Linked DNA regions of Coturnix japonica. The protein of the gene in region 1 interacts with the protein of each later gene in a pairwise test. Links are inferred from orthologs where the notes say so. Each region holds a gene or a part of one and is shown on either strand. Other genes may lie near its edges.

What was found.
Region 2: the proteins of BAG4 (region 1) and UNKL interact in binary tests that used the Homo sapiens proteins (3 or more experiments, as listed by UniProt). The link is inferred for Coturnix japonica from reciprocal best matches to the Homo sapiens genes BAG4 and UNKL.

The regions. Positions count from the first base shown.
Region 1 is NC_029537.1:3,645,000-3,649,778, reverse strand, and holds the start of BAG4 (BAG family molecular chaperone regulator 4), read right to left. Parts: upstream 2,937-4,779; coding exon 2,715-2,936; intron 2,638-2,714; coding exon 2,557-2,637; intron 2,346-2,556; coding exon 2,112-2,345; intron 1,795-2,111; coding exon 1,570-1,794; intron 1,258-1,569; coding exon 751-1,257; 3' UTR 1-750. Other genes in the region: U6 snRNA-associated Sm-like protein LSm1, read left to right, coding at 2,935-2,980, 3,120-3,188, 3,744-3,859, 3,930-4,100. UniProt on the Homo sapiens protein: Inhibits the chaperone activity of HSP70/HSC70 by promoting substrate release. Prevents constitutive TNFRSF1A signaling. Negative regulator of PRKN translocation to damaged mitochondria.
Region 2 is NC_029529.1:7,301,105-7,305,161, reverse strand, and holds part of UNKL (putative E3 ubiquitin-protein ligase UNKL), read right to left. Parts: coding exon 3,947-4,057; intron 2,938-3,946; exon of another isoform or gene 2,871-2,937; intron 1,146-2,870; coding exon 969-1,145; intron 492-968; coding exon 358-491; intron 1-357. UniProt on the Homo sapiens protein: May participate in a protein complex showing an E3 ligase activity regulated by RAC1. Ubiquitination is directed towards itself and possibly other substrates, such as SMARCD2/BAF60b. Intrinsic E3 ligase activity has not been proven.

The DNA of each region.
Region 1 (4,779 bases):
CAGGGTTTATTATGATCTCATTACACGCAGCAATGATTCGCTTTGCATGTCGTAACCAGGTTCACCCAGTAGGCGTTACAATTAAAAAGTGGATTTGACCCACGCGACCTGAAAAAGCATTTTCTGCACCTCCCACTGTCCAGGGCTGCACGGCTCTGCCTGCAACTGGCTTTTCCAGGTGAAAAACTCAGAGTTCCAGGCTATGTTCCCACATCCACACGGCATCACAGAACAGCTTCACATCAGCAGAGCTACAGGGAGCGCATTGGAAACAAAAAGAGAACCCCGGGATGACACAAACCAGCTTTTGTGGGTAAGGGATCTGAAGCTGAAAGCACACGCACTGATGGACCTTCATTTATGGTGATGCATGTGACAAGTGCTGCAGCTGTGGCTCCACGAGGTACCATGGATTTGGGTGGATTTGGACCCGGTTTGGGGAACTTTGTGCAGTGATTTTCTTCTTGCTGGATGAAGGACACAGACAACCCAGTGCTAAACACCTTCAGGTGGTGCTGCTTCTTCACATCCCAGAGCAAACAACTCAATTTGCTGCTTTCATCTTCTCTTCATTGGTCCAATGCTGAGCTGTTGGTCGGGGCTGGGCTTTCCTGTGGGTTTAGGGTTGTTTCTTCTTTTCAATCAAGTCTTATTGCTTTCTCATTATCAGTAGTGCTTAGCAGAAAGAGCTGAGATTTGGATTAACTCTTTGGAACCTCCACAACAGGCTGCATTGTGGCTGATTTGCTTTCACAATCCTTTCCTTTCCAGTTTTTCCAGTATGGCCTGAATTCTATGGACAGCTTCTTTCCTGGCCTGTCGGACACCATCCTGCCCACCAGTCTCAATGGAATCCAGTTCTAACAGCAGCTTGGTCAGCATCTCCTCCAGAAGCCTGTAGGATTTATCTGTCTTTTTCCCTACAAATTCATCCACCTCTTGTTCTAACTCTTCAGCCTGCTCTGTGACCTGTAGGATCCTCTGTATCTCTGGCTGGATGGCTGCAGAATTCATTGCAGTGTGATTGCCAGCTTTGCAACCTGCCTCCTGGTTCCCAGCCAGCTGCCTCCGAGTTGCACTGTTGTACATCTGGGGCTGTGCACTGTATTGTACCTTGGGGTTGGAGGGAGATGACTTGGAGTTATGCAGCAGGGAGGGTGGTTTGTGGTCATTCATTGTCCCAGGGTGCTGGTGATTGCTGTCAGAATAGTAGCAGTGTTGGTTTGCACTCGGATCAGGTTTGTCATAAGCAGATTCCTACAATCAGAAGGGGAAAAAAAAGAGTCTACATTACAGAGGCATTAAATGAGATCTGCTCCACTTCAAGACCCGCCTCTCAGGGTCTGCTATCTCCAGTGCTTTCTTCAATGGCAGTTTGGATATATAAGCAGGTGATTTTGCTGGCAGTACTTAGAACCGCTGCTTTGTTTTTGTCTCCTGGAAGCAAACTGTGCTTGGAGAAAGGAGCACTGAGCAGCTGCATGTGTGTATTGCGGGGGAAGGCAGCATGAGCTGAGCTCTGGCTACAGCCAGAATCTTTGTGTCAGAGCCATTAAAGCATCACTGTACCTTCGAGTCCCACACAGGAGGATGAGCTGCAGTCCTGCTGCCAGTCCAGGGTGGTTGTGATTCAGAGAGGAATGGATTCCCATGTGCTGGAGCTGCAGGCCATGCATACCGTGCCTGCACCCCATAGTGAGGGGGAGCCCACGCCTCCTCCTGAGCCCTGGGCTGTGGGTTGGCCCCGGGGCTGTGGTCTCCATATGGATACTGAGGAACGGGCATCCCTGGGGTCTGTGGGGAGAGGGGGACAGATGTAAGTCCTAAGTCAGCTCCCAATGCCTGTGGCAGAAGGAAGCTCTGGGATGAGCCCCAGCACTGGGATGAGCCCCAGCACTGGGACTGCTGCTGCTTTCTGCTCCAAAGCTCGTGACCTCAGAGCTCCCAGCAGAAAGGGGCAACTCCAAGTTCTTACAAGAGCAAGCAGGGCGAGCTGGGTGGGACATAGAAGCCATTTGGGCCCAATTAGGGTGCACTGTGGGTTCACCCTCTATGGGGTGAGCAGCACAGGAGCTCTCGCTTTGCTGTGCACACCCTAAATGGTTTCTTACCTGCGGTGGGGAATACCCAGCAGCCTTTTGCCTGCGCATTGAGCATCCCTCTGCTGGGCAGTCCTGTGTGCCACAGCCCCAGGGAGGGGCAGGAGGGGGGGGTCGATATGGGGCTGAGCTGTCGGTGCTGTAGGATGGACCTGAAGTGCTGTAGGTTCGTGTTTGTGGCAGTGAGGTGTAATGGGGAGGGTATGGGGCGCTGTAGGATCCGTTGGTGTAGGGTGAGTCCATAGCCTGGGGAGGAGAAAAGGGAAAAAGAGAAAGAAAATGAGCTGAAATGTGTGTTAGGATATTTAATGGGTTATTTCTGTACTGAGCTGTAGGAAACAAGTGGGGCTTGAAGCCCATTGTATCCTATGGCATAGAAATGAAGCACAGCTCGGTCAAAGCCTTAATGGACGGGAGGGGGATGGAAATGGACCCTCATCCCCCAAACCCAACATACCGAGTCCGCTCCGTCGGTGTAGGCCCCAAAACCGAACGCTGGGCTCCAATAACCGGGGTTGAAGCCGGGGCCTGGTGGCTCCTATAAGGAAAAACCCCATTATATGGAGCAGTGATAACGGGATAACGGGCTGTGCTCGGTTCCCCCCCCCCCTTTACCTGCCCGGTACGACCGCGGTGCTCCATGTTTTCAACCCGGCACGCTGTAGCCCACCCCACAGCGCGACACAAGGATAAAAGGCCCCCACCATGCGACCAATAGGATGCGAGGACCCCTGGATGTAACCAATGAAAGGCAGCCCCGCTCGCACTACCGGCGCCGCTTTTAAAGGGACAGTGCATCGCTAAGTACCGCCCAACGTGGGGCGGTTCCGCCACCATGAACTACATGCCGGGTACTGCAAGCCTCATCCAGGACATTGACAGTGAGTGTGACCGAGGTTCTATTCATTCAATAAGGAACCAAGGGGAAAACCGGGACCCGGACGCGGGGGACCCCGGTTTTCCCCTTGGTTCCCATTGGGACCGATGTTCCGTACCCCCGCTTGATCCCTTTCCCCATAGAGAAACACCTGGTTCTGCTGCGGGACGGCCGGACGCTGATCGGATTCCTACGCAGCATCGATCAGTTCGGTACGGATATAATGGGGGGGGATAGGGGGGGCAGCACCGGGAACGACACCGGATCAGGGCTTAATAGAACCCATATGGCTCCGATAGGAACCCAGTTTGTGGTTCCCCCATCCCTTGTCATGTTGGACCCCCACCCCATGTTATATTCCCCCCTTAGGGCAGCACTAAGTTCATCCCCCCATTGACTTGTGCCTATGGCTGAGCCCCCCAGTCTTTACCTCCCTTTACCCCTCTTCTCCCTACCCCCCTTTCCCCCCTTCCCCATTCACTTGTGCCTATAGCTGAGCCCCTCATTCTTTACCCTATAGCACCAGGGATCCCTTTATCAGCTATAGGTAGTGGCTGCTTTGGGGTCCTATAGTGGCTGGGTTTGGGGGATCATGTTGTTTAGGGGATGCTCAGCATATAGGATTATAGTGCTATAATGCAATCCAGCTGCTCCCTATGCTTTAGGCTATGGGTTGTTTCAGGTGAGGTGCTCTGTTTGGTGAAAAACTGGGTGGTTTTGGTAAAAAACTGGTTAAAAACGGGGTGTTTTTTTCTCTATCCCCACAGCCAACCTGGTGCTGCATCAGACAGTGGAGCGAATTCACGTGGGCAAGAAATATGGGGACATCCCTCGAGGGATCTTCGTTGTGAGAGGGGAGAACGTGGTGCTGCTGGGGGAGATTGTGAGTGAGCCCCGTGCCCTGCAGCCCCTCACCCTGCAGCTCTGCTTAACAACAGCTCTTTGCTTTGCAGGACCTGGAGAAGGAGAGCGACACGTTGCTGCAGCAGGTTTCCATCGAGGAGATCCTGGAGGAGCAAAGGTTGGAGCTGCAAGCCAAGCAGGAGTCGGAGAAGCTGAAGGTGCAGGCGTTGAAGGAGAGAGGCCTGGCGGTGCCCAGGGCTGACACGTTGGATGAGTACTGATGGGATGGCAATGCTGAGTGGTGCAGGCACTGAAATCATGGCTTCTGTTCCCCCTTGAGGGGAAAAAAGGAGTGATGGCAATGGGGAACCCTCGGAGGTAACTGGATGCTCCGGGGGGTGCAGCAATTTCTGTTCAGAGATGAAGGTCTCTGTTCCTTTTTGGTTTGTTTCTTTTGGCTCCTCGCCTGGAGCTGAGTGAGAGCTTCCCTTCACCTGTAAATAAACCCCTGATCTCAACAGCAACAGCTTGGCTTGTGTTTGGGCTCTGTGTGGTTATGGGCACAATGGGACTCTCCATGACCTCAGGTGCTGGGCCCAGTTCAGCTCTGTTCACTCAGGTGCAGCTGTTTGCCCCCTAATTAGTTAATTACCTGCTGAGTTGATGGAGCATCACATGTGTGAGGCAGGTAGGTAGGAACTGAGTGGGTTGAGCTGAACTGGGTGCTGCAGACTTCAGCACTTGTAGGTAAGGCAGGAAAAAGCAGAGTTTGGGGTCTTTCATTACCATGTGTTCTCTGATATTATGGGGCTCCTATTGGTGTCAGTTCCTGCCTTACAGCCTGGGCAGTGCCTGTGTTATCTTATTGCCTGCCCCCTGTTGTGTGTGTGTGTGTGTGGGGGGGGGGCTGTGTGTTTATCTCTGCTCTCCAAATAGCATCAAAGCAGCCTTGGGGCAGTG
Region 2 (4,057 bases), on another chromosome or scaffold:
CATACTAAGACTAGCTGCTAAAATCTTCCTGGACAAACTCTAAAACCTCTTCTTGACTTCTGCCTTTTTTATCTACAACTGGTTCCAGTAAGGAGGAATTAGGACATGGAAAAAGAAGGTTCTGTCTAGAAACAGAAAAAGACAGAACGTTGTCAAAACATTTTCAATTTACATTCTCAATATAAATATCATAGACTGTACGAAACTGTTCACAAATATCTTTATTACTTACAGAAACCATTTTTTTTACTCTATTACAAAAAAGACTTCTGAATATCTCCCAAGTTTAGACCCAGGATCAACAAATTGGATCAAACAACATCGAAGAAACAGAGAAAGGAGACAGGGTAACGTTACCCTGCCATCTTGGATCTTCACTAAGGATCTTCTCAATCATTGCTTGACTTGCTAAATTCCCTGGTTGCAGATCAGGAATGCCTTCACCACATCCTAGCTGCCCATTCTGTAAAGTTTCCTGTGCCTGAAGTTCTCTGGAATGGGGAAAGAAAATGACACTGCAAAACTGTACAGCTAAAATAACCCTACCTGTCCTACTAAAAACCTGGCCTATTTTATAAAAAAATTATCGTTTAATATAGCTTCTAACAAATCTAAATTGGAATAAAAAAGCAAGCGGACAGTCATAAGGAATAACCATGTCAGACTAATCAAAGAGAACACGTGAAGGAATGCTGGCATTACATATACAGTCAATATTTATACCAGCATTGTACCTCGGTGTGCTAATACACTGACATTCTGTACATGTTATTCATTACTAGTATTGTACCACCACATATGACATGCTTACATCTGCTATCTTAATGCACAGTAAAATGCATTCTTATATTCTGTAGTTACAGATGAAATCATGTTTTTCATGCAAAGCACGCTACGTTTTCTGGTATGTAGTAGTAACAAACATAGTATTTACTGCTTAACAGGCTGCAGAAATTGAAACAGACTACCTTATGTCATATACTGGAGGTCTGAGGTCATGCGGCCCATGAGCAAAGGCACAGTGAATCCCATTCTTCACGCAGTGACCCCGGGCATCTGTTTCATGAATGCATGTTCCAGTCTTGTAATATCTGAGATGGTATTTCCTTTCTGTATCTCCTGTTGTTCGATGTAGGTAAGGGCAACTATATTGTAGAAAGAGGAAAGTTTAAGCATTGCTTTATTTTTAAACATTCAATTCTGAATTATGCTCTCTCATTAACTCATAACAAACAACTAATCAAGATAAATGGTGCATGGGAACTGCTGAGTCACAGCCTGAACCACTGACAGAGCACCTGGAAGAAGAGACCCAGTCAGCCCTGGAAGCACATGCTGCAATTCAACGTGTGCAATTGGAAGACTTTAGACCTCACTTAAGGGCTGACTGCCCCTGAGGAAGGATCTCTTGCTGCAGTGTTTTTCTGTGAGCCTGGCTCTTTGGAGATAGGAAGCATTGCTCTTTTTGCGACATCTCCTTGTGCTGGTCCTGCTGCCATTAAAAACGGGTTGCAGCCAGTGAGTTTACTTTTACCTCTTTAAATCCCAACACAATTAGTGAGAAGACTAAGTATACCAAATTCAGTGCTACATCTCACTCTCAGCGTAACACAAAACACAACCAACAACCAAGATCTGGATGCAGTTCATTCATATTTCCTGCTTCTGTGTGAAAAGACAGTTGCAATTTTTGTTGGAGACATTTCGGTGACTCATATGAACTTCTTAAGAAACGCTTTGCAATGTATGAGCAGCACTGTGCAGCCTTCCTGTTCTGCTAGAACTGATCTACTAATACAGAAAAATGAGGAACCCGTTAGGGCTGCCAGAAGTCTCAGACAGACTCTAGACTTGCACTGAACTCGAAACAAATGAAGCTGCAATCTGAGCTAATGCTGACTGCTGCTAGCTCTCCCACCACTAGCACAATCTGTGCGGGAGTTATGTGGGAAAACATACTGGCAGAGTGTTCATTACCAATTATAACATATGCACACTACATAGGTGTGAATGTTTTCTTAGTCTTAGGTTTAATGCTCACTCCTCCATTTTCATCTGTTTAATTTTGCTGGTTCCTGTGGAAAACAAGAATTAAATGCCTCCCATCCCAAAGTGTTCAGATTTACACCTCACTGCTCAGCTCTGTGTCAGTGGCCCCTTAATGGATGGCAGCATTTTTGATTAGATGTCTGGGCTTTTTCTCTAGAGAAATTACCAATCAGCAGATGCCCCATAAAATGTTAAAGCCTTTGATTACATTCAAATTACTGCTTGAAAAGAGAGAATTATGGAATTCAATTCAAATATCTTGTCAGACAAAACACAACTCCTTTCATGCACAGTGAGAAGGAAAAATACTCAGGTCACAATTTTTCCCACATAAAGACAAAACAGATTCCAAGAACAAGCTGATAAAGAAATACAGGCTGTTTCACAAGAGCCTTATGTTTTGTTTGGTCTAAGACTCACCATTTATGCCATCTACAGCTACAGCAAAAGATTGCATGAGCTTTCATCTCGCTTCTCAGCTCTTGAAGCATCCCCTTATTTGCTTCTACCAGTGCAAACTTGCTCAACTAATATTCTTTTAAAAGCCTGCTTTCTTTATCTTCCTTTAGTACCACTATCACTCAATAATGAAAAGTTAATTTTAATTTTTGTCCCCAGTCAACAAAATGACAAGAACATCCCTTATCCTCTTGTTGATATTCAAGCAAGAACTGCTCACGTTCACAGGTGCGTTACAAACACCTGAAAAGGTACATAACTGTTCTCTTTTATATCATCCCCAAAGATATTTTTTGCTTTTTATTTTGCTTGGGCGTAGTTCTAAATATCGCCGTGCTGCCTATGACTTCTTTGTTGTTTACCTTCACTTGTCACCTGTTGTTTAGTTTGTAATTCCTGGGAGGAAAATCCACCTTCTGTGACTACAGCCTGGAACAAAAAAGATGTCTGATCTGTGATAAGAGCTGCTAAACACTGCAAGAACCAAAATAACTGTCTTCACATTTTAAAACAGGTGAGCAGCATAACTACATATTTCCTGTCTGTTTTTCTGATTTTGTTTTTTTTTTTTCCTGTGCAAGTCTTTCCTTGCTTCCATCCCTGCAGATGAAGCCAGCTCCTCTGTGTTATATGACCGCAATATACCCAGTTCCCCTATACATGCCTTCTTGCCATACTATATATTTGCTCACTCTCATCATCACAAAGCTTCACCCCTTTCCCATGTCATCTGGGGCCTTACCTAGAAGAGACATGTGTCCGTGGAAAAGCAAACCTTAATGGTCTACCCAGGTAACCGATATAAGAACTCCTTCACAGTATCATAGAATGGCCTGAGTTGAAAAGGACCATGGTGCTCATCTGGTTTCAACCCCCTCCACTATTTGCAGGGTCACCAGTCACCAGACCAGGCTGCTCAGAGCCACATCCAGCCTTGAATGCATCCAGGGATCCTGTGGGGGATCCACAACCTCCCTTAGCAACCTGTTCCAGTGCATCACCACCTTCTGGGTGAAAAACATCCTTTTTTTCTCTCTACAGAGCCATCATAAAACAATCCTTCTCCTCTACAGCCCGTCAGCCCCTACACAGAGCAGTTTGCGCATACAATTTCAAAACTGTCAGGAGAAAAATGCATCACAACTGCCAAAAAACGTTCAGGGACAACAAGAACAGCACTAGGAGAAAATAAACTGCTTACATTCTGCTTTCAAAACGGTCACAAAACAATAAGAGAGCTCTAAGTCCATGACAGCCTAAAGAACACATGTTTGTATAAAAGCATACATGCCAAAGGCTCACAAATGACTCACAAAAAGTTTCCTCAGTTAAACTGCAGGATCCCATCAATCAGTTTTGCCCAGAAAAAGCAAAAATACCATCTTTCTGTAAAGCCATTAATACTGTAAGCACCCCAGGACTGAAAGAAATCACTTACTCATCTCCATCTGGGCAGATTCCTGTAGTCTCATCATATTTTGTACAATAAACATCGGGACTGTAGTTAAAAGTTCCATCACGCCTTCGTATAGGTCTACGACGACGCTGA